Linked DNA regions of Lytechinus pictus. The protein of the gene in region 1 binds, or shares a complex with, the protein of each later gene. Links are inferred from orthologs where the notes say so. Each region holds a gene or a part of one and is shown in the gene's direction. Other genes may lie near its edges.

The links.
Region 2: U4/U6 small nuclear ribonucleoprotein Prp3-like (region 1) and ubiquitin carboxyl-terminal hydrolase 39-like share a complex: the UniProt entries of both Homo sapiens proteins name them as parts of the U4/U6-U5 tri-snRNP complex. The link is inferred for Lytechinus pictus from reciprocal best matches to the Homo sapiens genes PRPF3 and USP39.
Region 3: U4/U6 small nuclear ribonucleoprotein Prp3-like (region 1) and U6 snRNA-associated Sm-like protein LSm7 share a complex: the UniProt entries of both Homo sapiens proteins name them as parts of the precatalytic spliceosome. The link is inferred for Lytechinus pictus from reciprocal best matches to the Homo sapiens genes PRPF3 and LSM7.
Region 4: U4/U6 small nuclear ribonucleoprotein Prp3-like (region 1) and thioredoxin-like protein 4A share a complex: the UniProt entries of both Homo sapiens proteins name them as parts of the precatalytic spliceosome. The link is inferred for Lytechinus pictus from reciprocal best matches to the Homo sapiens genes PRPF3 and TXNL4A.

The regions. Positions count from the first base shown.
Region 1 is NC_087247.1:68,145,490-68,152,731, reverse strand, and holds the start of U4/U6 small nuclear ribonucleoprotein Prp3-like, read left to right. Parts: upstream 1-4,242; 5' UTR 4,243-4,247; coding exon 4,248-4,433; intron 4,434-5,689; coding exon 5,690-5,913; intron 5,914-6,378; coding exon 6,379-6,469; intron 6,470-7,239; coding exon 7,240-7,242. UniProt on the Homo sapiens protein: Plays a role in pre-mRNA splicing as component of the U4/U6-U5 tri-snRNP complex that is involved in spliceosome assembly, and as component of the precatalytic spliceosome (spliceosome B complex).
Region 2 is NC_087262.1:12,999,785-13,007,795, reverse strand, and holds the start of ubiquitin carboxyl-terminal hydrolase 39-like, read left to right. Parts: upstream 1-4,996; 5' UTR 4,997-5,021; coding exon 5,022-5,292; intron 5,293-6,159; coding exon 6,160-6,232; intron 6,233-6,911; coding exon 6,912-7,006; intron 7,007-8,011.
Region 3 is NC_087247.1:61,093,428-61,100,898, forward strand, and holds the start of U6 snRNA-associated Sm-like protein LSm7, read left to right. Parts: upstream 1-4,449; 5' UTR 4,450-4,563; coding exon 4,564-4,569; intron 4,570-7,471. UniProt on the Homo sapiens protein: Plays a role in pre-mRNA splicing as component of the U4/U6-U5 tri-snRNP complex that is involved in spliceosome assembly, and as component of the precatalytic spliceosome (spliceosome B complex).
Region 4 is NC_087253.1:7,931,379-7,939,315, reverse strand, and holds thioredoxin-like protein 4A, read left to right. Parts: upstream 1-4,928; 5' UTR 4,929-5,019; coding exon 5,020-5,448; 3' UTR 5,449-7,458; downstream 7,459-7,937. UniProt on the Homo sapiens protein: Plays a role in pre-mRNA splicing as component of the U5 snRNP and U4/U6-U5 tri-snRNP complexes that are involved in spliceosome assembly, and as component of the precatalytic spliceosome (spliceosome B complex).

The DNA.
Region 1 (7,242 bases):
GGCGCGGCCGGATAATAGTTACTGTATGCTATAGCGGTAGGCCTACATACAGTCATGACTATGCAATCTTTGTGTGTGTGTATTTGTGTAGATTAACAAAAAGGGCGCATGACGAATTGGCTTGCAATTTGAACTGTAGAAAGTTGATAAATGCGTGCAAAATCGGGAGAAAAATTGCGCTCCTTTGAAAATTATTGGTTGCCCGATTCAGGCCACCAAAACTTAACATTTTTTTAATGATGGTTGCCCGAGGTGAATTTCTGGTGGCCCCGGGCCACTGCTAATGTCGAGCCTTGGATAAGTAATACAGTGTGCACTGTCTAACAATCAAAACAACTGGAAGGAGGAAATAAGATCAGTTGTCGGATTTGCCGTTAACGGAAAGTAGAGGCTTAAAAATTATTTTAGTGCCTCATACTTGTTTTCCAACCTTTCTTCAGACCACTTGCACTCTGCAACCACCCTGTCTTTGGTGAGTCTATGCAACATACAAACACACAAAAAAAAGTCTTTAAAATATCACTTTTGTAAAAAACAACACCCAGTTCCATTCAGTTATGATTTTTTCATTATAGACTTACAGTGTAGGAACCATTTTTTTATTCACCAGAGCGCTCAAAAACTTAAATTTTGAGTATATTTTTGTGACGACCTCTTTTGGTGAAAAACTGAAATTGATGCAGATCTCCATCTCCACAGTCTCTTTTTTAATGGCAAAAAGAAGCTGCTGAAAACTGCTTATCTAATAAAAGAGAGCCAATGGAGTAAATTAGAAAGTCAAAAGGGGCCTAAGCTTTCGATCCTAGCAGAATCTTCGTCAGAGGCAAAATGATGCTCATTTTGCCTTCGACGAAGATTCTGCTATGATCGAAAGCTTAGGCCCCTTTTGACTTTCTAGTCTCTTTTTTAATTAGAAAAAATTAATTTCAAGAATTCAATTGAGTTTTGGGCCAAAAAATAAAGTATTTATTCATTCCAGATCAAGAGAAAAAAAAGCAAAACATTGACAATCTTATTCATGTAATTTCACCACACAGTGGTTTCTGAGGACAAGGTTATCATAACCTTGTACATGGGATAAATGCTCGTAATCAGTTCTAAAATCGACAAGAAAATTAGCCTACCTGAAAAAGCTCTGGATGCCCTGACTCGATGACCTCACTTTAACCATCTCCTTGTGCTTATCAGAAGAAATGTGTCGAAGGCATGTCATTTCTTCCTCAAAACTTTATAGATACATCGACCAAGCAAACTGAGCAAAAAGCATGATACTCTCCTCTCTTTGATCTTGTCACACAGTCCCATTCCACTTGAAAATTATCTTTATACTTCGAAAAGTATTTTGTATTCTTGGTCTTGGATGACTCCATCTCCATGGTCACTGACGATGCGATTGTAGTGTGGATGAATCGGGACGGGCGTGCTTCGCACAGCCAGCCAGCGCCAGGCCAGCTCACTCACGAAAGAGAAAATGTTCGAATCCGATCAACCCAAGTGAAAGTAGGCGAAAAATTCTCAACTTTGCTTCTGTTCTTCAGGATTGTCAATAAAGTGAAAGTCGGGGTGTAGTTATAATAGTAATCCACTTGTAAATCCCATCGTTGATCCACAGTTTCAGCTCGAATAAAGCGCACACAAGCGTATGAAAAATGCCTCGCAGTGCTCGTGGACTTCCCTTCTCATAGCCTCCTGGCGCGGCGCGGCCGGCTGGAGACCAGGCAGGGTCGCATCGGGGGGCATGTGCATGGAGTGCCGCTGAAGTGTTTCCATCACACACATTGCAGAACCAGAAAAAAAATGGCAAGTTAGACTAATTCACCAGTCGTTCAGTAAAGTTATCTTCATTTACATTGGAAGTCAATGTACGAGTATACAAAAACTGGTAAAATTTACTGGGTAAAATGAAAATGTGATAAGGAGGATCCACGTGGGTGTAAGGGAGTTGAAAATGCTAGACTCGTAAAACAGTCGTTTGTATGAATTTTACAATTTAACAGCTAAAAATCCTGATTATCCCGGAGATTTTGGCATGGGGTCGGGAGAATGGGAGATTGGATGGCAATCCAGTATTCTTCCGCAGGATCCGGGAGACTCGGAAGCTCTGGATTACACATGAGGGCTCGCACTAACGTACTACCGTCGGTGAATGGGGATGATAGTAAAATGTCAGAAATTGTTAAATAAATCCCCAGAAACGACGGTTATTCCTGTCTAACCACTGGCGTGCTTAAAGGTATTGTTTAACTTTGTGAGCAGCCGATTTAAAAAATTCTCAAACCAAGATGATACATGTGTACAAGTGCATGTATTAGAACTAATAAACCCTGAAAACAACCATTATTGAGAATGAAAAGCTAGAACTACAAGGCAAACCCCGATTTTGTAAATAGGCGTCTTATAGACGCCTAAATAGTACACATAAGTGTATGGGATGAAATTAAGATGGTGTTTTCGGTCACTTTATATTTCAATTTTTGAAGCATTTTTTTTCTGGGCTTCATTTTTGTAACATATCACAGACACAGGTGACAAGTGTGACCTTCTAGCTCAGATTTTTTTAAAGTCTCGCGATCGTGCAGCCGCCATTAGGGGGTCAACAATACCAAAAAAAATAAAACGGGGGTTTTCGATTTTTGTCTTTATTTCATAAAAATATATAAAAAGAACTGGACCAAAATAAAGATTAATATTCCATTTTGGCCTTAAATGCACCAAAATGGAAAAAATAAACCTAACAGGAAAAAAACAGTGACCTACTTCGGCTGTCGCGCAACTCCCACTTCCCTGGTTTATCCGAACTTTATACATAAACATATGGCCATTGAGTCCCTGTACAGATAAAGTTAGAACTTCAGTCTCTGTAATTGGTGAGTGGAGCCAACAAAGTTCAGCAGAACATTCAATAAAACAGAGACTGAAGCTTTTGGTCTAGGATACCATTGCACTTACACGCACCGAGTAAAATACTTGCATCGGCCGATAAATATCATAAATCTTACCTCAGTCCTAGATCCCACTTCAACTGGTCTAGCGTGAGGAATATTTTAGCATTATTGGTGGCAAAATACTTGGTGCGTGTAGTGCAATGGCATCCCGTCCCTGGCTTCATGGAGATTAAGCACGTCATTGGTATGACTTCAATCTCCAGGAGCCTCCTGGCCTGGGGGTGGGGGGTTCAAGAGTATATTGGCAGTATTGCTTTGTGTGGATATGTGTAGATCTAAAAGTTAGATCAACAACTTCCGTTTGAATGGACGATTCAACCCCATCCAGCAGAACATGGATTCGAATGAAAAGAGACAAATCTAATGTCTACAAAAGTAAAAACCCTGAATATTTCATCAAAACCGAATGTAGAATAAGAACGTTGTGATGATTTTAGATTTCACTTGAAGTTTCACTTCAAGATCACAAAACAGTTGTACTACTGTAGAGTCTATGCATATCCACTCGCACTAGTGCAAGGTTAGTTACTATTCTAACCTTGCACAAAGAACCACGTTTGGCAGTGGATTTCTAAAGTTAGTGGGTCGTGCATGCTGCGACGTCACTTCTGGCGTGCACAACACACGACTTCTATGGCTTGATTTTTCTGTGCGCGGCGGCATGTAATGCAATGAACCCTTGAGTGATGCATATACTAGTCCTCATGCAATGAAGCACCCAGCAATGTCGTCCATTTAATATTTTTTTAATACATTATGAGCTCTAGTCTAGAGTCTATATAAAATATTTGTGAAATGTCTTCCTATTTTTCATCATTCGAGTTTCAAGATCTATGTGAAACACAACTTGATTTTCCCTGACAATCTGGGAATGCTTTTTTTACATTTTTTGTTGCAATGTTGTCTTTCATCATCAAGCGGCTTTTATGGCTAATCTGACATTCCTTATGATCTCAACAGCTCAAGAGTACATGTAAGTGTGGCAAAAAATTTGTCAAAGATGAAGTCTAGAGCTCAAACAAAATAAATTAATTTCTTCTGAAAATCTGAAACTGAAGTCTCTCATATTTTTTAAATTGAAAAACATTGAAGCCCCATATCTGCTGAACCATTCATTTTATACACAATTCAGAGGATTTGATGAGGGAGACTGTAATGGATGCCTTTACAAGTTTACATGTTTCTGAAATGCCTTTTAAAATTTTTCACTATTTTATCTCTGTAACCTATTGCAGATGTAAAATTTTTGGTCATTACGTGTCTGATTAGAAAAAAAAATCTCCTTTCTTTTTTTATTAAGATATGTTAAAGCCCTTGCTGGAAGACTCGGCTGAGAGGTTTGTGGAGACCCTATTTGCAGATGTAGCAGGTTTTCAAGGTGGAAGTAAAGCTTCAAAGAGAACCAGTAAAGATGATGATGGATATGAGGGACACAAGAAGCGTTCTAAATTCTCTCACTTTCCCGGTGAAGACGAGAATGGAGTCAAGGTAACAATAAGCTGTGGGAAACAATACATTCCTTAAATTTACCTTATAATTTTTGTTACGTGATTACCATATTTTACATGTATGTTACTGGGGGATTTTTTAACATTCTATTCAAATGAAGTCCTGAATATGACTGTAAACCAGATTAGATGAGCTGAATATGGCTTGAGTAGCGATGGTTTGAGTAGTAGCAGGTTGAAGTGAAGAGAGGTTACTCGACGTTTCGGGCAGGTTGACTGTCCATCTTCAGGAGTCTTCACTTCAACCTGCTACTACTCAAACCATCAATACTCAAGCCATATTCAGCTCATCTCATCTAGTTTACAGTCCTTTTTCAGGACTTTACTCACTTTCAAGAAAAGATTACCTCTAATTTCCTCTTTTCATCCTTTCTCGTCTTTCCATTTAAATTTTCTGCCTGTATTTCCTCTCCCTTCTTCATATTAAACATTGTGAACCGTAAGCCTTCTCCACATTATAAACTCCACCATGCAAACCTACTTCTTTTTTATTCTTTATTTGATTCTAATCTAATCTAATTTAATATAATTTAATATAATTTGTTGTCATCTTCAACAACTGTATAGTTGTATTTTACTATTTTGTATTACATGTATGTTATCTTTGTAAAGTCACATGGATTGGAAGACCTTCGGGTTATAGTTATTTAGTTAATCTTTTTCCTTTCCCGGCATCCATGTGACTCTCCTTATCCTATTGTTTGTATATGTTGTTTATGTGTTTGATTATAATAATAATTTTAAAAAAAAGATCATCTGCCTGCTTCATTAGTTCAATAAATTAATATTTTCCCTGATGAATTTTTACAGTAGAAGTAGGCTATAAAATAGTGATGTTTCAGTTTGCTAAAGGGCATCAGCTTAAATTAAGAAGGTTGTTCTTCTGAGCATGATACCTCATGAAAAATCGTTACAAAATTGAGAAAGTGCCGCCCAAAACACAATTTTGGTCCCATGGGACCACTCCTCATTTAAAACGTGTATGTTATAATTTTTTTGACATATTTTGTAACATTTTTAGCAATAAATCCAGCTTAGCTATGCAACATAAGATAACATCATATTTTACCATTGTGCAAATTTTTTTGTCATGGTCACATGATTTGAGACCAAGATCTTAGGGGGCATAATAAGGACTCAAAATAACCTGGGATTATTAGACTTAAGTCCTGCTATATTACTAAAGTAAGGAAAGTACTTGGAACTAATTAAATGAATGTATTTTACCTGACACAGTTTTCAAAGAGTCAGCCCGAGGCTCTGAGAAATGATGCTCTGGAGAAAGCCAAGAAAGCTGCTGAGATACAAGCACGCATACAGGCAACTATGATGAGTGCTGGGTTAGGTGGTTTGAAACTACCACCTATGCCTGGAATACCACAAGCACCTGCAATACCTAAAGTACCAGCTCCTAAAGAAGATACCAGTCAGACTAAACCACCACCAGCTGTTCTCACTAAGTGAGCAAACAATAATTATCAATAGCTTTCTCTCATATTGAATGATTCTGTATTTTTCTGTTTTAGATTAAAAATAAATCATATCTCAAACAATCCTTTGTTTACCCCTCCTCCCAGGGCCCTGGGAACGATTTTGTAAGTGGAGGTGCTGATGTAAGTTTGAAAAGTAAAAAAAAAAAAGTTTCTCTACAAAATGGAAGTCACAAAAAATTAAGTTAATTTTGGTTACATTTTTCAATTTTTACACATCTCTCAGAATACCTTAGGGTGCTGCCTGTGGAGAATAATACACACAGCACCCCCAAGGAAAATGTTGGGGGTGCTTCAGTAACCCTGCTTCCCAGGGCCATGCCCTCTCCCCCTTGAATGATAATAAGCTCAAAGTGATAAAACATTTTCTGATCCTCTCAAAGAGATTCTGGTTATTCATATTAATTATTCTTTTTTCTTTTTTTGTGTGCTTAGACCAGCACCATTGATTCTTGATGATCAAGGTAGAACAATTGATAAATCAGGACGTGTTATCATACTACCGCAACACAGACCAACAATTAAGGTAAAGCTTCCACAATTTACGTTTTATCTTTGATACATAGAATGTACAACTTGATGAGAAGGGTAATGTTGTTTTTATTTTATGTACATGTATGTGGTAGGCTTGTCAAATGAAATGAAACATCGTGCAGAGAGTTTTAAAGATATGTGAAGATATGTTATATATATTTCAGTCTATTCAATTGAATAAAGTTTAATAAGAAAAGTAATTGAAAAGGGGGGAACACAATGTAAGCTACATGTATGCTTGATTATTCTGATTTTCTTCTGGAGGAAAAAAAATCATGTTAAGAGCAATGATGACTTTATTACTCATAATCAGAAGAAGAGTAAAATGATTTTTGTATTTTTCCACTTTCAACAAAGGATAAATAATTTATTACTTTAGAGTTTGGATACCTGTAGGGACAGTCATTTTCCATTATACTGGTAAATAAAAAGGAAATTCCATTTTGTTCTTACACTTTTTATGTAAAAATTCATGGAATTTAGGTTTTTGCTGTATACATTTTCAGTGACAAAACTGAATTTCCATTTTTAGATCAAGTTGAAACGGAATTACAGATTTTCAGACATGGAAAATACCATTTTTTAAAATGGAAATTCACTGTCTCTATACCTTTCATTATCATTCAAATAGACTCTTGCATGTTTTAAAGGATGAAAATGTTTTAGACTGTGAAATAGTGAATGTGAATAGAAGTTTTTTGTGCATTCTTAAAATAAAATTATATTACTTTTCTTGTCCCATTTATACTGTCCAATGTGAAGGCT
Region 2 (8,011 bases), on another chromosome or scaffold:
TACACATGGGCGCCAAAAATCAGGTCAAATTTGGGCCCCCCTCCCCACAAAATCTTGGATCCGCGCCTGCATGAGACATGTATATCCTATGACTATTTCTACTGAAATCCTTGCATTTGATTGGCTAATAGCAAAATTGTCAGGGAAAATCCAACTTCATGAAATGCTGCCGAGGCGATCAAAAGGAGACACAAAAGGTTTTATTAGTTTCTACAAAGAAAAACAAGGGGTTAAAATAATAAAAGGGGGGGAATAGAAAAAATATAACAATCACGAGTAGGATCACTTAAAAAATATCGCTAAATAAAGAAGGGAAACCATATTCAATAATAATAACAAAAGAAAAACAGATACAACGTTGCCACAGACATGACAGAGAAGGGGCGTGTGTCCGTTGTTCCCCCAACATAGATTCACGTGAATTTCTCGGAAGAAAACAAAACGAGTCATGAAAATAAACATATTTTTTTCAAAATGATAGAAAAAGAAATTCCTGAACAAATCATGTTGTTGTTTGATCAATTAAAATGCAAAAAGGGATAAGTTTGATTACACTTCTCTTCTTTTCACTTAAAAAAGATAATCTTTTGCATCCCCCCTCTAATTGCCGCAAATTATATTTCATAATAGGTAAGGCCTATACTTTAATGAAAATGCACCTGGGTCGAGTGCAGCACAATGTGGATAAATTTCTTGCTGAAGGTAATTACGCCATGGCTGGGATTCGAACCCACGACCCTCTGTTTCAAAGTCAGAAGACTTATCCACTGGGCCACAAATATTCTCAACAGTAACTTTTTATCAATTCCTCTTTAATTCCAAATTGAATATTTATTAGTAACCATTCGACAAACCAATCTATCAATATTGATCGATCAAAAAACCAAGCAAGCAAGCAATAAATGTACCGATAGTAGAACGTTATTTTATTCACGCTATGTAATTGAAGTTTAGATAATCATTTGTTTAACGCATGCATGCCCTCGAGCCGATCTTTGGCCTTCGTTATACACCTGTATCCGTAGGATGTACACAGTAGTTTAGTAATAATTGTATCATGTACATCAACATCAACAAGATCTTCTAGCCATTCACAAGCAATATTCTATATATATATATATATATATATATATATATATATATATATATAAAATTCTCCTGGCTATCATTTCGAGAGATAGGGGCCTATCAAAATCCAGAATTTATTCTTAAAATAACAATAGGCCTAAATATCCCGAAAGAGGTGGATTTGATAACAATTTTTTTTTTTTTTTTTTTTTTTGGGGGGGGATTTTTATCTTATTGATCGATTAAACATACCGAATCATTACACAAATGGACAAATCAAACCCGGACAATTATTTCCAGAGAGTAGAGTGTGCCAGAACAAGGACACTCTCTCAAATTTGCCAAGCAATGACGATCTAGACTGGATATAAGGAAACACTTCTTTAGCCAAAGGGTTGTCAACCAATGGAATAAAATCCCACAGTCCACAGTTGAGGCACCAACACTCCTGCAATTTAAGACACCATTATCAAAATTGGGTTTTTAAATGGGCTCTAAGAGCTAGCCTCCTTAAAACCATGCCACACTCATCTGTACACGGCTCGTCGTGAAGACAGTGAGATGTGGCCATCTAGGTAACTTCAAGGTAACTTCAAGGTAAACCACATTGTTTCAGTTGACAAGACCCAATAAATAAGAAAATTTACAATTAAATATTTCCAAGGTGTCATTTTCTATATAAATTTTGTACCGAGTCCGGAATCTGCTATTTGGGTCCGGTGTTGCCCAACGATTGCAAAACTGTTTCTGGAGCATAATTATGAATTCCATAAAATATTTGGGTCTTTGTGAAACTTTTCAAGGAAAAGTATACGTACATGTAAATGTCATTTTCTGAGCAAGTGCAAATGCTTGGAGATCGATCATTTTGAGTCATCCTTGATTGTAGTCATAGTAATTAAAATATATTTGGACTCTATCTCTGCCAACACACCAAATGAATAGATAAACTGGGGCGGTATTCTGAAAACGTTCTTATCTTAATTTTGTTCTTATCTACGTCACGTTCTCAAATTGGTATTCTGAAAACGTTCTTATCTTTTTCTTATCTTTTGTTCTTATCTTTTTCTTATCTTGCTTTCCATCGATGCTGAGCGCGTAAATTTATAATTCGCGCATATGATACAAAAGCGCGCTAAAAGATAAGAACAAAATAAAGATAAGTGGTATTCTGAAAACGTTCTTATCTTTTATCTTTCTTATCTCTTTACGATATTTATGATAATATTTAAGATAGCTAGAGGGTTATCACATCTCAGGATGTCCGCGTTCTTTCTTTCTCAAAATCGATGGCCACTGGTAGTAACAAGTATTCTTTCCACCCTTTCTTTAATTCACCCTTTATTTTGCCCGTCTCTTTTTCTATCTCTTATTTCTTTCTGTATTTATTTTCTCATTTTCTTCATTTCTGTTTGTCTCTCTTTCTTCCTTTCTTTCATTGTTTATTTATATCTCTTGTTTTATTCTTTTGAATCTTTTCTTTTCTTCCTTATTTTTCTTTGTTTTCCTTTTTTCCTTTACTAAGTCTTTATTTTCCCCCCTCTTTCTTCTTTTCTTTCTTCCCCCTTTTTTTCCTTCCTTCACTTTATTTTTTTTTCATTATCTTTTTTATTTCTTCATTCTTTTTCTTTCTTTCATTCATTCTTTCGTCTTTATATTTGTTTTATTTATTCATTTTGTTTGTTCCTTTTTTCTTCCTTCCCTTAATTTTTTATTTTTTCCTTATTTTTCTTTGTTTCTCCTTCTCTTATCATCTTTTCTTGTTATTTTTTATTCTTTTTTTTCTTTATTCTTTCCATCAATCTTAATTCGTTTCTTTTTTTTTCATTCATTCTTTATTTTTCCCGCCTTTTTATTTTCCTTTTTCGTTCTTTTTCTTTATTGCTTTACCGTTCGTTCCTTCAATCTTTCTTTAGTCTTTATTTTATCTTTAATTATCCTTTCATCTTTTCTCTTTCTTCCTTTTTTCTTTCTTTCTCTCCGAGTCTCTCTCTCTCTCTCTTTCTTTATTTCTGGTCTATTTTCCTTTTTTCTCTCTTCCTTTACTTTTTACAGTTTTTTAATTCCTTCCTTTTTCTTTTGATTACTTTCTTTCATTCGTTTTTTTTTTCTATTTCTCTTAAGGTTATTGTATTCTTTCATTTTATCCTTTGTAATCTTTTTATTTTGTCCCTTTTGGTTTTTTTTTTGTAAAGTTTCTTTCTTTTTCCTTCTTTATTTTCTTTCATTTTTTATTCCTCTTTTTATCATTAATAATCGTTCTATTCATTCCTCCTTTTTCTTTCTTTTATTCATTCTTTATTCTTTCTTTCTTTTCTTTTTTTTTAAAGTTCTTTTTGCTTGCTTTCTTTTGTTTACCTTTTCTTTTTTTCATTGTTTTCTGCTTTGTTCCTTTCATATTTTTTTATTTGTGCTTCATTCTGACCCTTTACTGTCTTCTTTTTTTTTAATTTTTTATTCGTATTTGCTTTATTTACCTTTTTTCTTTAATTTGTTTCTTTATTTTGTGCACGTGTCTCGAAATAATAATCAGTCATTGCGTATAAAATGCCTATTTCGCGCAATGTGCCACAAACAGTGTACGCGCAGCGCCCATGATATTCTCTTCACACAAGGAACGCTTCTATTGGTTAAACTTACAATATAACACGCATTTTGATTGGTAATATCCTAAAAATGGGCGTGTTGAAGATAAGAAGGAGGCAGTCCTTACAGAGATAAGAACGCGTTAAGAAGATTTTCAGAATAATACCAACGAACGTAGAGGGCAGCAACACACAAGCGTGTTGCTCTAAGGAAGGTCAACTCCGCTCGAATTTTGTGACCACTTTAAAAAATAAGGTGGGGTTTTGGGAAATTTGTCGAGTTGATTTTTTTTCATTTGTTAATTTCAAATATTTTTTAATGAACAATTATTAGATTGGTTATTCTGGGTATAAATATTAAAAATATTACTTACATTTTTAAAGAAAATATTTAGCTTAAATAATCATGATTTTGACATTTTTCCTCATTTTGGAATATTAAGCCTGTGACGAGGATACCTCATATCTCTTATTTTCTTCTGCTGAATTTCGCTGCACCACTAATAAATGCATAGACAACCACCGTAATAATCGAGGTCATTTTTCTGGCCTGGGTGCGCCCAGTCTGGGCCGGTCGCGCAGCTAGCTAGTGACGTTGATGATGCGCTGGGGCTTCAGGCGACTCGTCATAGATCTAGCAACTTAGACAATGACATCTAATTTGCCTGGCCTGATTTGAAGTGTAATGGCTTCAGGGCTGATGTTTATCAACGATGATTGTTCAAGGTTAGATTTCAAATTTTAAATGTCATTTGACTTTTAAGTCTATAAATCTGAAATAAAGGCGCTGTATCCCCGAAATCCGGGTCTAAATTTCAACTCTGAGTCCGAGACCATGGCATGGACGGCGAAAAAACAACCCATGCATCGGATGCATTGCATTGGCTGCGCGCTGCGCTGCAGCTGCACTGTGATGATGGGTTCAGCGAAGAGCTCAGAGAAAATAAGGTGGTTATATTCAATCCCGAAATGCTTTGCGAGTGGTCACAAAATCGTCTCGACGCAAATCACCTAATACAGCCGTCTGGTGAAATCGCTGATAACAACAATCACCGATTTGGTAATGATTTTAGTTTCTTGAAACTTATATTTGTAAAGTTTTAAATATCAAAGTATGTTTTTATATGTATGTATATTCCTCAACATATTTTTTAAGTTATCTTTGATACGTTGTAGTCATATTCTTTCATATTCGTTTTTTGATCGCTACTAATTTGTTGTTGTATTGGATCGGCATTTGATTTCGTAGGCATGAACAATAAAATACGCGCGCAGCTCAGCTGCATGCGCGTATCGAGTTGACCTTCCTTATAGCAACACGCTTGTGTGTTGCTGCCCTCTACGTTCGTTGGTGAATACCGATTTGCAATGATTTTAGCGTCTTCTTATCTCATTGAGATAAGAACAAAGATAAGAACAAAGATAAGAACGTTTTCAGAATACCACCCCAGATGTATAATAATACTAGATATATTATTTGGAATTTTCACACTGAGTATACAAAATAACATAATCTGTACAAACGCGAACGGCGATGGCGCTTTTGTACTTGTCAAAGAAAAGATGGCGACTTCCACGCAGAATGCGAAAAGACCCCTCGTCGATGCAAGCTATGATGACGATAGTGATGATGATTACGGTATCTATTCTTTGAGTTTATCATCTTTATTTTTTATATTTAATTTAAAAAAAAATTCACCAATAGTATCATTCATATCCTCGGAAAGCCATTATTAATTTAACGTTTAGATTCACTTTGGTCCCACTCCATTATTTTTCAAGTTGGCTAGTGCAGCTGTTCACATTGCAATTGAATTGGGCGCTAATGCAGTTTCGCACCACTCTAGAGTCTAGGCAATTTGCCTATTTAATTTCGTGTTGAGAAAGTGAGTCAAACGGGTGTGAGTTTGGTCGTTAAATGCCAGCCAAGTCCTCTAAATTTCGGTCTTACTTCTTCTTTGACTGTCTGTCATATTATTAATTATTATTATATTAATCTACGATTATGAATTATGATATTGATAATTGATATAAAATCGGTAGGCCTACTCGCCATTTCTTTTTTTGAAAAATTTGGTGATTTCATCCCCTCTTCTGGCCAACTCTCGCGACGGCTGTTGTCGCAATAGGGTCATGTACATGCAAATCCAAGGCGAGTTGTCACCTGACGCTCGCGAGTCTCTACTCTAGTCTAGGCTTATTGGCCTTTATTATTTTTTTGTCATAATTTTACAATGATGCTTATAAATATTGAAATCTGTAGACGAGTCTGTGCAGGGGCATAACAGGGGTATATATTAAGAGGGGACACAGCACATGCCCTGGTGGAAAATAAAAGTTATGTAATGTAACTTGTAAGTCCACAGTGAGCAAATAGAGCAAGAAAAAGATTTTCATGAGAATCTAACTTTGAGTTTGAGATAGATTTTGACAACGTTCTTACATTTTTTACATGCATGTGACCAACTTGTGATGAAATATACTTTTTCTTTATTTCATTCAACAGTTCCGTCTAAGATTCCAAAGCAACAAAGAGAAGACAAGAGCAGAAGTTGCCCCTATCTGGACACCATAAACAGGTGTGAACTACAAAAGGAAACACGGCTGGAGTGACAAAACTTTGGTTTAAGAAAAGTCAAAGATATGGCCTGCATAGCTCTGTTATCCTTTGGATAGTCTTCCCATTGACATTGTGTATATATAATGAATTTATATTCAGATAGAGATGGGGCAGCATCACTTGCTACATTACATGTACATGTAACTGTGTCATGCTATTGATATAGAAAGAAAATGATTTATTTCACCTTTGTGACAAAAGAGTGAATTGATACACTAACTTGGACTCATTTCACTAAATGCCAAATTCCTATTTTATCTAACAACATTTAGTCACAATCATGAATCGAGACAATTGTCTTTCCGTTGATGCCCACAATCAAAGTGTTGATTATTATGGCAAGGTGAAAAAAGTTGACTTGACCTTGTCTGCGATATCCTACTTTACTGTTAAAACATGTGATTTTTTTTTCTTCAAGGAAGAATAACAGAAAGTGAATGAAGAATGAAGTGTAAAATGAAACTGTGTTGTATATATGTAGTCCCTGGTAGAGCTATATAAAGTATTTATAAAAATGAAAGGTAATAAACAAGGACTTGCAATCTAACATAGTAAATGTAAAAATATGTTTTACAGGGTGAGTCCTAATGTGTGCTTTTTATTTTCACAGTGTTGAATTTGTTATTTCTGTCATACAGGAGCTTGTTGGATTTTGATTTTGAGAAGCTCTGTTCAGTCTCCTTGTCTCATTTGAATGTGTATGCCTGCCTTGTTTGTGGAAAATACTTCCAAGGTAAGAAAACCCATATTTTATCTGTATTTTTACTGTTTTAAAACCTTAGTTATCTCTTTAGATTAAAAAAACAATGTAGTTTAGAAAAATTAATCTACATTTTAGTGTAACACGCGGAAACTGATGTAGAAAGATGACACACGACACCATTCCTTGTGTTTCGGTTCGTTTAATATCGATGAATCGTTACATACAAAATTCAAAGTACAAGAACAAAAGATAGAAAAAACCTGTAAAAACCAATAAGAACAAAACCATTAAATAGAATTATATGTTTAAAAAAATGCACAGAATAGAAATATACACATATTTGCTTGTGACTCTAAGATAAACATTCATCAATATGACGTCAAGTGGACTCGTAATAATAAATGATAAACATGTTTTCTATATCCATTCATTAAACTTAATCAATATTGCCTGAATCCAACTCATCTAATCACAAATTCAGTTCCTCCATCGTTATGGATAACTCTTCCAACAAATAAATGAAATACATCCATCAAGTGAAATTTACCAAACAATAATTAGAATATGCCAACAAATTAACATTGAAATACAGTGGTTAATGAATGATAACCACTCACCCTGACAATCTGGCCTAGAGGACCATATTTCCTCTGGTGAGAGCCTCACCCGCTACACGAATGTCATGTCAAATACCTTTAAAAGGAAAGTAACAATTATTACACATAGTAAGCAATCATTGTGACCCTTTACTCTGAAGACACAAAACTGAAACATTGAATTAACAATTCAATAACCAAAATCAATTTAACCAAAATCTTTCACTCTAAAGATCATTTTACTAAATCGTTTCACTATAAGATTAGAACCGAACACATTTTATGTTTACAACTACATACTACAATCAAGTATACAAGTACAAGTAATTATACAAAATATAACAAAATGACATAAAAATCATCTGAAGTAACAAACACAGATGCATAACTAATAAACTATTTAATTCACAAAACCCCTTTAAAATAAGACGGATAACAT
Region 3 (7,471 bases), about 7.1 Mb from region 1:
ATTTAAACTATTTCTTTTTTTCTCTCTTCTACACACAGATCTGCACAATTGCTAACTCTGGTGACTTCTGGTCTCTGCTTGCTACCTCAATCTGGGAGATTCCATCATGTCCTTTTACTATGATTTGGATATAGCCATTTTTTTCTTCACTCTTTCCAGGACCTACGGTTTGCAAGTTGTGGAATGATAATGATACAAAAGAAAAAATTGCTTTATCAATCTTGGAAACAATTTTGAGCACAGTTTTGGAGAGAACTAAGAAATTTTACTCGGACAGGAATACAGCTTGTCAAAAATAATAACACACAATTTAAAACGAAAGAACAATTTTAATGTTACTAGGGCATTTTGCGAGAAATGTTATACTCAATCACACGTCCCAAATCAAGGGAAAGTCCTTTGATTAAACATGTAGTTGAATTGCGATTGCAACTCGACCTTATTACGCTTGAATTTGAATTTAAGACTTACGCTTGATTTGCAATTTAACATAAGTTTCTTGCAGTGCCCCATAATTATGTTTTGTTATCAGATATTTAACGTGCTGATTTTTCTCGAAAGGTATAATATATTTGTCCTTTTAAACGGTATTTGAATATGGGTACGCCTTTTATTTGTTTTCCACAATATTTATTGCATGTATGAACAGAAGTGAAATATTTATTGTGAAGCACTGTGAATGTTGTGTGATGGTTCATCATCAGACTGAAAGCCTGGTGGATGTGAGGAAGTGGCCTGGATGAAAGAAAAGTGAACATGTGTCCAATTACTGATTTGCATATTCTAAGACAATTTTGTTTCTGGATAAATTTTGCTATGCATTCCCTACATTAAGAGTAAAGGAGAAGTCCACGCAATCAAAAATTCATTTGAATTTAAAGAAAAATAACAAGATATTGCAGGAAATTTCATAAAAACTTTGATTCAAATTTATATAATTACTATTTTAACAGTTCCGTAAATATAACCTATTGTGATCAGATGAAGAGTTTCCTATCGTCAAATCTGCAAAGAATAAAAAACAAAATGCCACAAAAAATAGAAACGAATGTGATGTGAGTGACAACTCTAATTTGCATATCATTGTTTTGTGTATATGACTGTTTTGAGTAAAAACAACAAGGGAAATCACTCTATTCAAATAATTTTTAGTTGATGTGGACTTGACTTTTAACTCTACCCCTCCCATCCCAAATAAGAGTAGAAATAATCTAATCAAGAACTTGAAAATCAAAAGCAGCAATTAAGAAGCAAGATTTGATAAATACAGGTCTGAATAGAATTTCACAAGAAAATAAAAAGAGAAAAAAAAGATGGGTAGGGACGGGGAAGGAATAAAAAAAAAATACCCAGAAAAAAAAATCCGAGTTTCGAACCAGGGTCCTCGCACATGACAAAACAATGGCCAACGCATTTGGCCACAGACCATCGCCCTAACAGAAAGGCATTTTTAAGATATATGAAAGAAAGTCCGCTCGCCGCTGTTTCCTAATAATGCTTCGGCAATTCAACTGCAATTTCAGTCATTTCGCGATGGATATTGCCGTGTTTTTTTTGTGATTCCTGACTTTGCTACTTAATGAAATTTCATAATTTTTGTTCAGTCATAAAGAAGAATGTCTATGCTTTATATTGACTATAATATTAATGTGACGCAAGTGTGATTTCTACGTGAAAATATGCTTTGTTTATTCACCTATATTTCTTGAAAAAAAAAAAAAATTCTAAGCTAAATATCGGTCACCAAAATACGTTAAATGTGCACTTTTTTCCACTGTTCAGTAAATTCAAACTTTTATCTATATAACAAGACCAATCTTAAGAGGAATAAACAATTCTAAGAGCAAAAAACGCTGATTGGAAAGATCGTCTCCAATGGGCTGCTGTCAGCTCAGCTGCTCACTGCTCATTGTGTGACGTCACTCAGCTGGAGCTCGCAAGAGGACCGGTGGAAGGCAGAAATATGGCATGAAAATAAATCATTTTTGAGAGCTGATTTCTGCAATCTCTGATCACTATTTTGAAAAGTGAAGTTATATATCTGATTAGTAATACTTCCCCTTTACAATGATGACCACATAAAGTCATTATAAAATACTTTTGATTCTTTGGATGTATACTTTAAAAAAGAAGAGAGAGAAAGAAAGCAGGATATTCGCCGCCCTGATGATGATGGTAATTATAACGATGACAATGATCATAACAAAAAATATTGATTTCAATGATAATAATTAATAGTGACAATATTGATCGTCATATTAATAGTAATAGTAATGAAAACAACAATAAAAAAATAAATAACTTACCATTAACATTCCCCTTTTCGTTATACAAAACATCAAGATGAATGGTTAATTTTAATGTGACATAAAAAAGGGTAAGGTTGGTTAAATTTTTGCATAAAAATATTCGGATTGTTGAAATTATTCGAGATCATGAAATTCGATCCGAGTACAATGTTCCTATTTCCATTATTGATTGACAGTCAGTGCAGTGAAAATAGTGTAAGCTAGGAGTTGTCACCTGGGCCCGTCCCCCTAAATCACCACAGATCAATAGCCCATTTTGTCAGGGGACTATATTAAATTATGCTTTAACTTTTAATAAAACATATCATTTGAAAAGTCAAAATATATGCTTTTCCTTTATATTTTGTGATCACTGTACTTTTTTTGCTCCTTAATTGATTATTTTCCACGTACAATACCGGTGGTGTGATTACAAAATTTCAATGCAGTGATTCAGAAGAAGAAAACTGCCCCCAGGCCGGGTGACCAGACGTCCCGTATTTCCCGGGATGGTCCCATATTTTGCTCCTTTGTCCGGCCCACCCCTCCCGGGACGTCTATTTTTCCCGTATTTCAGTATATTGAACAAAATGTAGTTAATACATTTAAAAGTGACGAATGTTCATCAAATAACCAATAGATAATCGATTACTAAACTTTTGCAAGTTCTTTTTTTATAAAGTTTTTAAAATTATATTAAAAACACACCATATATAATTATTATTTTTGTCAGATGGTTGTTTTTGTTTGCTGGAAGTTTGAATTTTTCCCTTTTCTTTCTTTTATATCCTTCTTTCTTCATTATTCTATCCTTCGCGCTGCTGACACTTTTTTGTTCCATCTATCTTTATTTCTTATCTTTCTTTCATGATCCTTTCTCTCGCTGTGTGTTCATTTTTCTTTCGTTGCTTTTTTCTCTTATTTGCATTCTTTATCAAATTTCCTTGTTATTATTTCCTTCTTTCTTTCTTTAAACTGTTCTTTGCTTCCTTCTCCATTTCTCTCCTTTTTTCTTTTCGTTCTTTTTCTCCTTCCATTATTTTCTCTTTTTTTATTCTTTCATCCCTTCATTCTTTCTTCCCTCTCTTTTCTCCCCAATTCTTTCATTCTTTATTTTTTTTTCCTTCTTATTCCTTTCCCTTATTCTTTCTTTCCCTTTCATCCTTCTTCCTTCCTTCCCTAGCTTCCCGATCCCTTCCTGTTTTTCTTCTTTTATTGTTTCTTTCAAAGAATGAAGGAAACATTTATCTTTCCGCTCCTTTAATTTTCTTACTTTTTTTTTTCTTTCTCTCCTTTATTTCGTCTTTCACACATTAATTTTTGTTCATCTTCCCTCCCTTTCTTTTTCTTTCTTTCTATATTCATTTCAAAGAATGACGGAAACCTTTTTTCTCTCTTTTATTCTTTTTCATCCTTTTATTCTAACTTTTTTTATTTTTTCCTTCATTTTCCCCTTTATTTTTTTTCTTTATTCTCAATTAATATCTTTTCCTTCTTTCGCATTTTCTTTCTCTCCTTATTTCTTTCGTTCACCCTTCCTTCCCATTCTTTATATTTTTTTCACAAGTGTATAACACTGTACATGTGTAGCCTTCTATGTTGATTATTTTGTCGATTGTCCCGTATTTCATTTTGTGAAATCTGGTCACCCTGCTGCCCCCTTCCCCCGAGTTTTCCAGTCCATTATGTCTTCAGCATCACCTTGTTAATTTTTCGTGTTCCCATATTCCTTATTTGCCTATTTTCCTCTTTATTTCCATTTTTCATTCATCGGTGAGTAAATCAAGTCTCTATAATTCATCACATTAATTTTCAATAAAAAAGTGGAATTCATCTAGAATAATATTAATGATAATGCCAGACAAACCAAAATGGGGGATCTATCATGAAGCTCTAAACCAAAGAGAAGAAATTACATTAGATTCATTATCATTTCTTCCGGACCTAGGCTAGTTTGTCGACAATCAATTATGATAATAGCGATGATTGCCAAATAATTGCATGTGCGCGCAGAGGGAACTAATCAGCCCCCCATGGCTGACCTTTGACCGCGCGTATCCTGTTTTCAGTGCGCGTGTCGCCACTCTGTCTATTGATAACTCTGGAGATCAGCAGATCAGTGGTTGCTGCCCTCTACGTTCGTTGGTAGTACGGTATCGGTATTGTACAGTACGGTATACGGTATATACGGTGCAATTCGCATAAATTATAACATGAATCTTTGTACTTGGTGCTAACAAATAAGAGTCGTGGTGAAAGATCCCAAGCAACATCCATGGCAGTAAGTTTTAATAATGATTAATCTGATTTCTAATATGTAGTATCAATGACAATTTTTATGGTAATCCTTAGTTTTATGGCATAGGACTGTTAAGAGGACATAGTCTGGAGGAGGAAGAAAAAGGAAGAATAAAAAGTTACTCGGCCTCACTTGTTCACTGCAACCATCCCTGCCTGTGGGGAATCTACAGTACAGGTACCGTAGGTCTATGGCATGCCAATGATGTACAGAGCACACACTTCAAAAAATCATTAAAATATCACTTTTGTGACCAAAATTACTAATTTCTAAACAGTTGCAATTTATTTTTCATTAGTAACTTGGGAATAATTTTTGTATTCACTAGGGCGCTCAAAACCTTGAATTCTGGGCATATTTTTGTGTACGCCCTCTATTGGTGGAAAGTAATATGGCAAGAAAATTATATTTTTTTTATCTCTAATTATTTTTATCTTTAATTAAGAAAAAAATAATGTAAAGAATCAAATTTACTTAAGGGCCAAGTTGTATGATGAATAAGTGTAATGGAAACTGTCAGTGTAAAAAAATCAAGCATTTGTCCCAAAGAAAAAGAGAAAATAAGCCAAACATTGCCACCCTTATTTTGCCACACATGGAGATATAACTGAGAACAAGGTTATATCATAACCTTGTTCATTGAATGAGTGCTCGGCCTCAGGCTCTGCTCAGCCAGCTCAGTCAGCTCAGTAAGGTATCGTAAGGGCACTAGTATTCAACCCGTTTGGAGAGTTTCCTCAAATATATAGAAATATGGATTCTACCTTAATTTCAGACCTGTGTTATTTCCAAGACCAAATGCTGGTTATTCTTTTTGCGTTATTTTTTTTTTTTTTCAACCAGTCGACTGTGTGTGCGGGCGATCGAATTATACGGCAATGGTTTTTGGCACTAGTATTCAACCTAGCAACGAAAGATGGCCCTGTCTCTCAATCTGTCCTTGTCCCATCCAACTAAGGACTAGACCATTTGAGATGAGACCGAACAGGGAATTAGTCAAAGCCAGAGACTTACATAGATCTAGATCTAGTATTGCAGTCTAAACCATTTTTAAATTTGCTGTCTATCATCACTAGGTTGAATACTAGTGCAATTCAGTGCAAAAGGTCATTGCCGCATAATTCGATCCTCCGCGCATACAGTCGACAGATCGATAAAGAAAATACCGACAACAGATTACCCTGGAAATAACAGAGGTATGAAATTAAGATAAATTCCCTATTTCTAAATATTTGGGGGAATTTGTAAAAATCTTTGAATTATGCCGGGTTGAATACTAGTGCCCATACGGTACGGTAGCTCAATATAACGTGTCTGTAACCCAGAGAGCTCCGGACTGCGAATTAAGCCAAGTGGGCCGGCCGCCGCCGGGGCCCGGAAGGTAACCATACTAGCTGGCATAGCTATAATACGTCGGCGACTACTAGTAGCAAGAGGGTAGACTCAATGTTTTGGGTAGCCTGGAAGCTCCTAGAGAGTAAAAGTCATTTACTGACGTAGGCTTACTCTCCATGGAGCCTGGGACGGGATGGAATAGGCCAGTGACAGTGTCTTGTAGTCAAGCCAAGGGCCAAGGCTCAAACCAACGAACGTAGAGGGCAGCAACACACAAGCGTGTTGCTCTAAGGAAGGTCAACTCCGCTCGAATTTTGTGACCACTTTAAAAAATAAGGTGGTGTTTTGGGAAATTTGTCGAGTTGATTTTTTTTCATTTGTTAATTTCAAATATTTTTTAATGAACAATTATTAGATCGGTTATTCTGGGTATAAATATTAAAAATATTACTTTCATTTTTAAAGAAAATATTTAGCTTAAATAATCATGATTTTGACATTTTTCCTCATTTTGGAATATTAAGCCTGTGACGAGGATACCTCATATCTCTTATTTTCTTCTGCTGAATTTCGCTGCACCACTAATAAATGCATAGACAACCACCGTAATAATCGAGGTCATTTTTCTGGCCTGGGTGCGCCGAGTCTGGGCCGGTCGCGCAGCTAGCTAGTGACGTTGATGATGCGCTGGGGCTTCAGGCGACTCGTCATAGATCTAGCAACTTAGACAATGACATCTAATTTGCCTGGCCTGATTTGAAGTGTAATGGCTTCAGGGCTGATGTTTATCAACGATGATTGTTCAAGGTTAGATTTCAAATTTTAAATGTCATTTGACTTTTAAGTCTATAAATCTGAAATAAAGGCGCTGTATCCCCGAAATCCGGGTCTAAATTTCAACTCTGAGTCCGAGACCATGGCATGGACGGCGAAAAAACAACCCATGCATCGGATGCATTGTATTGGCTGCGCGCTGCGCTGCAGCTGCACTGTGATGATGGGTTCAGCGAAGAGCTCAGAGAAAATAAGGTGGTTATATTCAATCCCGAAATGCTTTGCGAGTGGTCACAAAATCGTCTCGACGCAAATCACCTAATACAGCCGTCTGGTGAAATCGCTGATAACAACAATCACCGATTTGGTAATGATTTTAGTTTCTTGAAACTTATATTTGTAAAGTTTTAAATATCAAAGTATGTTTTTATATGTATGTATATTCCTCAACATATTTTTTAAGTTATCTTTGATATTGTTGTAGTCATATTCTTTCATATTCGTTTTTTGATCGCTACTAATTTGTTGTTGTATTGGATCGGCATTTGATTTCGTTGGCATGAACAATAAAATACGCGCGCAGCTCAGCTGCATGCGCGTATCGAGTTGACCTTCCTTATAGCAACACGCTTGTGTGTTGCTGCCCTCTACGTTCGTTGGCTCAAACCTCCAAGCCAAGGCCAATGCTTTAATATAATACCCAAGGCCAAGGCTTCAATCCCCAACCAAGGCCATGACATGGCAACCCAAGGCCAAGGCCTGAAAACCTCAAGGC
Region 4 (7,937 bases), on another chromosome or scaffold:
TCTGTAAAACCAAGGTAAAGTATTGATATATCATTGTGGATCTAGATCAGGTACAGTTACATACACTGAACTTTGTGAAATCATAATATCTAGCTAAAAAACGATCACACTGAAGATCGCCAACACAGATAGGCACACGTGGGACAGTGTATTATTATTGCTGGAATAAAGACCCGACAGAAGTGACCGAATCTGCGCTTATTTTGCTTATTTCTCAGCAATTACACAATTTCTTCCAGAATCCTTTGGCACATATTTTTTATTCATACAAACAGACACTTTGGTGATCATTATATTAAATTCTGTAAAAAGTCATTTTGAGATCGTTCCCACAACTGGAATTTATCTTTAATTTTAGCATGAAAATTTAATCTTAGTATTACCATTATCACCATCATTTGATTAGTCAGAAAACACATGTAAGTAGAGAGAAAAGGATACATCATCTTCAAGTCAGCCACACGAAATATCCTAAGTTTATTTGCATTGAATTCATATTCATTTTCATCAATCAAATTAGTTATAAGAGTGAGTTTTACTCAAATTGTCACAGTCTAGCAAGTAAGCAATGCTACAACTTAACATTTTCCAGTTATGTATTTTTGTTGGAATGTATTTTTTGTCAGTTGTCTCAGTCTGTTTACACGTGTACATGCTCTTAGAAATGCCATGCGACCTTTTTTATATTGATTTATGTTTTCTCACTCAACTAGTAATATCATAGCTAGTTTTATTTTCTTCCTCATTTTCTATTTTAGTACAATGGTCGTGAAAATTGTATTCAATACATGAAATGTAATGTAAATTTACTGTTGTGTATTCATTCTCCACTCTGTATATCTTGTTTGTAAATGAATCTCAAATTTGATAGTGATATGTATATAGTGGTATAAACCTTGGTTGAAATAATGAATTTTAACACTACAGTGGCAGATTTCAATGTATAGAATTTATTATAAAAGAATTTTTCATTAATTGCAAGCTTGAAACACCTTGATATTGAAAATATATAATTATATCAGTCTGTAAAGAAGTAATAGCATGTGATCTTTTTTCTTCTTTTTTTTTACTATCTGATAGCAGGTCATTTTTCTGATTTATTTCATTACCTCTATATGCATTTAGATGTTTTTGCACTATTTTTCAAATTGACAATTTCTAAATCATCTACTTTGAGATCATATTTGTAAAAAAAAAAGTCCTGTATTTAATTTGATACATCTTTTGTGAATTTGTGGATGCAGACAACCGGCCAACTTACCCTATTTCTCAGAAAAAGAATTGGTGAATGAGCAAGGACAAGTCATGAAATCTAATGTTTTAGGAGGAATAAATGACCAGTATAGAGTGTGATCAGATTGGTATGAAAATGCGTCCTGTTGTATGAATTGATAAAATTCTCGATTAAAATCATTTCTGTAGAAATGATCAATAGAATGATTTGATGAATATCACATGGAATACATGCTTGTCTTCTTTGTCTTGCTTCTGTTGTAACGGTGTGTTGTATTCCCTTGAGGGTAGGGAGGGGGAGAAAGGGGAACAAATAGAGAGATCGAGGATATCAGGAAAGGCGAGAAAGGGTCAGGGAAGAGAGAGGAAGGAAGGGAGAAGAAAAAATATTAGGGTTGCCAACTCTCGCTCATTTAGAGTGAGAGTCACTCGTTTTCGTCCATTCTCTCTCTAAAATTGTGTTCCATTTCCGTCCATTTCTACTGATCTTACTCATTTTGACACTTAAGTTATATACTTTGCCTACGGGAGTCTAGCTCACTCTCAACTAATTTTCAAATTTTATGGCACCGCTGAAATATAGTGGGAGAGTAAAATAGAGAGAGATAACAAATAGATGGGAAGGAATAAAAAGAGAGGATACGATCTAGAATTAGAGTCATAGTTAATATTTTTTAATGAAATATGTTGTGCATTCACAAGTGTGCCCCCCCCCCCCACCCTGTAAGAATCAACAGCAATTATTTTAATGGGGATATAAATGTCATTCATTCGTACACAAGTGCGGACCTTTTTTTAATTTTTGCCTGTCAAATTTTCCTTGGGGAAAATGCCCTACTCGATCCTCTTGGAAGATCCTAAATCCACCCCTGTGTTACTCAAGTGTTCCCAGAAGTTATTTATTTTTCTTTTTTTTAATGGGTGGACAGTAGCGTATGCAGGATTTTTGAAAAGGGGGGGGGTTCAAGCTGAATGAAATGCTGATAACCCGCCCCCCCCCCCCCCCCGAAGGGGAGTCTTCACCACAAGTCGTTTCCTACCCCCTCCAAAAAATTGACAAGCAAGGTTTGAATTCTAAGGGATGGGTAGATGGGTATAAAAAAAATTGAAGGGGGGGGTTGAACACCTGTAACTCACCCCACCCATCCCCCCCCCCCCCCCCCCCCCCCCCCTGTGGGTAGATCATTTTGCCTAGCTACCACACGAGGGGAAAAAAGGAGGGAGCACGTCTGATTTTGAAGAGGTCGAGCGCCATCTACGTCCCAGCCTGCCTGATCATATCATCATTGTTAATGTAGCAACAATTTTCACAAGTCAATAGTCATAAAAAGACTTGAAGAGGGAACTTATCGCTTTTCCGTGTCCAAACTTTGACTGTGTAACCTGTAAGTAACTATCATGTTGTAAATTTATTTAAATTATAGGGTGAGTGTTAAACTACAATGTGTGCCATTTATTTCATTAAATTTGAGAGTATTACACTGTTGAAAAAATATTAAGCCCAACCGCAGGACTCGACTTCTTCAATCAGAGCTGAGCCGCAGCACAGCGGGCCTGCTTAGCGGTAACTGCTGCCAGAGCCCCGCTATTCAGGCAGGCCCAGTCGCCAGAGACGGCACTGAGGCTGAGCTGCGTTGCGGAGCTCGAGTCGAGATTCGATCCACTCAAGGGTTCATGACATGCCGCTTAGCCAGGAGGCTTCTCGAGAGTAAAATTCATTTACTAATGTATGCTTACTCTCTACGAAGCCAGGGATTCCATTCATCTGCATGCATGTATTGTAGATCTAGGTTTTTTACCGCCAAAAAACCTGAATTCCTGAAACTTTCGCCCCCGAGATTTCTAGTTTTTCTACTCTTAGTCTTAATCATTCCACTCACGCTAGCGCTATGGACGGTATATGAGTAGTGCGAGGTTAGTAATAGATCTATACTAACTTTCATTTTAACGCGTGCGTCAGTAACGTTGGGGAAGAACAATAGGAAACAAGATGGCGGCGTAAACATCGGGCAAGTCTCCTCCGTCTTTTCATATTTCATAAATCGATAGCGTAGAAATGTCGGAAATGAAGTTGTATCCCATTTCATGATTAGGTCTAACAAAGTTAGATCTTTTTATAGAATGAAACTATAAATCTCGGGGGCGAAAGTTTTTTGGCGGCATGCAGATGAATAGGATGGAATCCCTGGCTTCGTAGAGAGTAAGCATACGTTTGTAAATAATTTTTACTCTCTAGAACTAGTAGAAGCCTCCTGGCTAATGCCGCTGGGCACGGGAAAATCTAGGCATGCCGCATGCAACTTCCATGGCATGCGATTGCATGAAATTATGAAATCTAAAATCATCAAATTGTTCCATTTCACTTACTGATCGACGAAAGTCCCTTTGGTGACCTCTCTTAGCACCCTGTTCCTCATATTTTCTTGCTCTTGACGTAACTGCCTGTCCAACGGCAACAACATCAATTTTTGGCCTAAAGAGGGCGCACGATTTATATTCATATCAAAGACACGACATGGGAAAGACCACTCACACATATTGCGAGGTTAGTATTAGTATACTACTGGGGAAAGACTAGGCACCGGTGCCTAGTCTTAAAGGACAAGTCCACCCCAACAAAAACTTGATTTGAATAAAAAGAAAAAAATCCAACAAGCATAACACTGAAAATTTCATCAAAATCGGATGTAAAATAAGAAAGTTATGACATTTTAAAGTTTCGCTTCATTTCACAAAACAGTTATATGCACATCTCGGTCCGTATGCAAATGAGGGAACTGATGACATAACTCACTCACTATTTCTTTTGTATTTTATTATATGAAATATGAAATATTTTGATTTTCTCATCATTGTCATGTGAAATGAAGTTTCATTCCTCCCTGAACACGTTGAATTCCATTATTTTAACATTTTGTGCTTCAGGCAAGGAGGTCCTAATCATCAAATTCGTAAAAATTGAAATATTGTATAATTCAAACAATAAAAAACAAAAGAAATAGTGAGTGAGTGACATCACCGACTCTCTCATTTGGATGTAACTGGCTCGTTCATATAACTATTTTGTTAAAAATAAGCGAAACTTTAAAATGTCATAACTTTCTTATTTTACATCCGATTTTGATGAAATTTTCAGCATTGTGCTTGTCTGATTTTTCTCTATTGATTCAAATCAACATTTTTCTGAGGTGGACTTGACCTTTAAGGTGTGCACCTTAACTATTTTACACGCAAATCGACGCAAAGCATTACGCGAAGTCCTTGAAGTGTCTAATCTTTTCATTGTATAGGTCTAGACTTTGGGAGACCGTATTATTGACAAACGAACAAAGCTTGTACAGCTGGTTTCGATTAAAGGTACATAGATTTTTTTCTATTTTTAAATTAGTCGTTCTAGATTATTTGCTAAAAAGTGTAATCTTTTAAAATATTTTCTTGATATTTCCCTTGCAGGTCTTCCAAGCATATCTTCTTCTCGATGACACCTGCTTCAGAGATCAGATTTTGATCTGAAGGAAGTTCTATCATCAGATAAACCTGAGCTAGCAGCTTCACATGTTTTGACTTCTTGGTAATTTGCAGGGGGGTTTACTCTCCTGAATTTCTTGATAATCTGAAGACAGACGTCTTTACTCCTGTTATCAACTGTGGCTGTTCACCCCTCAAAAATCATATTTTCTATCTCTCTCTGAAGCAGTCGCTGTGTTCGCAACTGAACCGTTGTGGGGGTTTACTCTCCTCAATCTCTTTGCATTCTGAAGAAAATAAGACGACCACTAAGCCAAGATGTCTTACATGCTTAGCCATCTCCACAACGGCTGGCAGGTCGACCAGGCCATCCTAGGTGAGGAGGATCGCGTCGTCGTCATCCGCTTCGGTCACGACTGGGACCCGACGTGTATGAAGATGGACGAGACGTTGTACCGGATCTGCGACAAGGTGAAAAACTTTGCTGTGGTGTACCTTGTTGACATCACAAAAGTGCCTGATTTTAACAAGATGTACGAGTTGTACGACCCGTGCACGATGATGTTCTTCTTCAGGAACAAGCATATAATGATAGATCTGGGTACCGGTAACAATAATAAGATCAACTGGGCTATAGACGATGAACAGGAGGTTATTGATATTGTGGAGACAGTGTACAGGGGCGCGAGGAAAGGACGTGGTTTGGTGGTGTCACCCAAAGACTACTCTACCAAATACCGTTATTAATGTCCTCTACCGCATCTCTGTTGCCAACAGTTTGGATTTGTGGATGGCAGCGATTGAGGACACGTTGGTTTGGAAATGAATACTGGCAAGTGCCATGCCTTTACGAAACATCATTCCTCAAACATTTTCTTATTTTTTCAGCTACACCAGAACTGCAAAGCTTTGGTAAATTTGTTGATTTATGTTGTATAGTAGGGTTGCGGGCTATCACATATTGAATCAAATGTACAGTTTACAGTATCGCAACGATCACCTGGGGAGTAGTTCATCAACATTTTCGTCCGACAAGTTGTCGGATCCGACAACTTTCCTTGGTTATGATCGTAAGAGAGGCACTGTTAACATAGTAACTGTCGGATAAATCAGTACTTGTCTGATAAAACGTCTTACAAGTCCTTTCGAATGATGAAACGCTCCCCAGGTTTTATCTCAAGATACACTGCAGTACATTCTCCATATTTGACCTTCAATAAGTCAAGTAAGCCTATTAAACTCCAGAAATTTCAAACCAGGGTGGTGTTTCATAAAGTTACGCACAACTTTACGCACGACTGAAACATGTTCCTTGGTGCTTAATCAGTTACATGTGGATAGTGTAGCACAAGAAAGGTCACCAGTTGTGCGTAAAGTCATTCGTAACTAACAAACAGCTTTATGAAATGGGCTCCTGAATATGAAAAATATGTCTCTCCTGTGTTAAGTGCAACAGATTTCTGTGTTACCAAGACACTTGACTTGGGTAGTGTCACCTGTGTATCGTTCAGCTTTAATTATGTGTCGGACATTGTTTGCATTTATGTACATGTAGTATGTTTAAGTTTATGGCACTCCTGGGCCTGCTGTAGTACAAAGGTTAGCGATTAATCGCTAACTTGAAAGATTGGTTCCTAGTCAGTCTACCGAGCAAAATTGCGCATGCAACGATGGTCTTGATTGGTAATTTCATGTACATGTAGCTATTAATCGCTAACTTGTGTTACAGGGGCCCGTTTCATAAAGCTGTTCATAAGACTTTACACACGACTGGTGACCCCTTCTTGCGCTAAATGAACGGATTTTATAGCGCCTAAGAACGTGTTCCAGTCATGCATAAAGTTGTGCATAACTTTACGAACAGCTTTATAAAACGGCCCAGATATCATCAGGTACATGTAATATTGGATGGGGAAGTATTATAGTTTATTAGAGGCTTGACACTTTTATGTAGTTCCCCTTGGACCCTGGTGATCTTTATTTTCTACATGAGGGAGATTTGTTCATTTTGTTGTTAAAATCATATCAAGTTTCAAAACTTACAATATTTTTCTGAAGAGTTATTGTTAACCAGATTGTTCATTCACTGAAGTCAACATTGTCACAATTTTATGACACCATGCCACCTTTAATCCAAGCCACCGATTGGATGTCGTGAAAGACATTATGAAAATATGAGAGAGGACATATTTTTGATAAGCCAAAGGGGGAGGGGGTGTAAAGCTCTTTAATAGTTATGGACAACGTCAACTTTATAAAGTTCTGGAACATATTTTTGTGCTACATGTACATGTACCCAAACATTTTCTTTGTGTTCAACAAAGTGGGACTGACTTTCCAATTACTGAATACATGTCAGTATTAAAAGGCCATTATTTGACACAAGTGCAACCCCCTCCCCCCCCCTCCCAGTATTTCAGATACCCGGAGAATAGCAGTTAATATTACAACTTTTTTTTTTCTTTGATTTTATTTGGTCATGATTAATTGATTCAGAAGTCACAACTGTGTAAATGTACATTGAACTTGTTAACATGAATGTTCTTTATATACATTGTAGTAAATATGGAAACAGAAAACCAAAAAAAAAATGACTGAATGTTCATGTGTAATCTGAGTTGGTCATACATGTAGGTAATTTATAATGTGATTGTGGCTTTAATCTTGAAGAGAGATGAATACATATGGAGAAAAGAAAGTGCAAGAAAGACAGCAAGAGAGAAAAATCAGTATAAAAAAGAAAGGGGGGAGGTTGGCTGATAGAAAAAAGAAAGAAGAAAAGTGAACAGTAAGGAACAGATCATGAGAACAGAATGGTGAATGTTAAAAGCTTGCTGGAAATGTTTCATAAAGACTTGTTATAATAACAAATGCATGCTTTCTATAACAAGTTTACTCTCGGCCAATGAAATTGAATGATAATCATAGAATCAGCTCATTTTAATCGCTTTTAACTTAGTCACAGGGCCCAGGAAAGAAGGTAAAAAAAGATGGAAAGCTACCAGATGAGGAGGGATCTGGGGCCCATCTCACAAAGAGTCGTAATTAATCTGATAAATCTCAAATATGGAAATCCATCAATGTCATAATTCTTCAAGCAGAGCAGCACACATATTTGTGAGGCAGCGGCTCGCCTCTATAACAGATTGTCAAGGTTTTTGGATTCCTGGCTTTCCATATCAATCACAACTCTTTGAAAGATGGAGCCCATGAAAGATGGAGAAAATGGGCAGTGG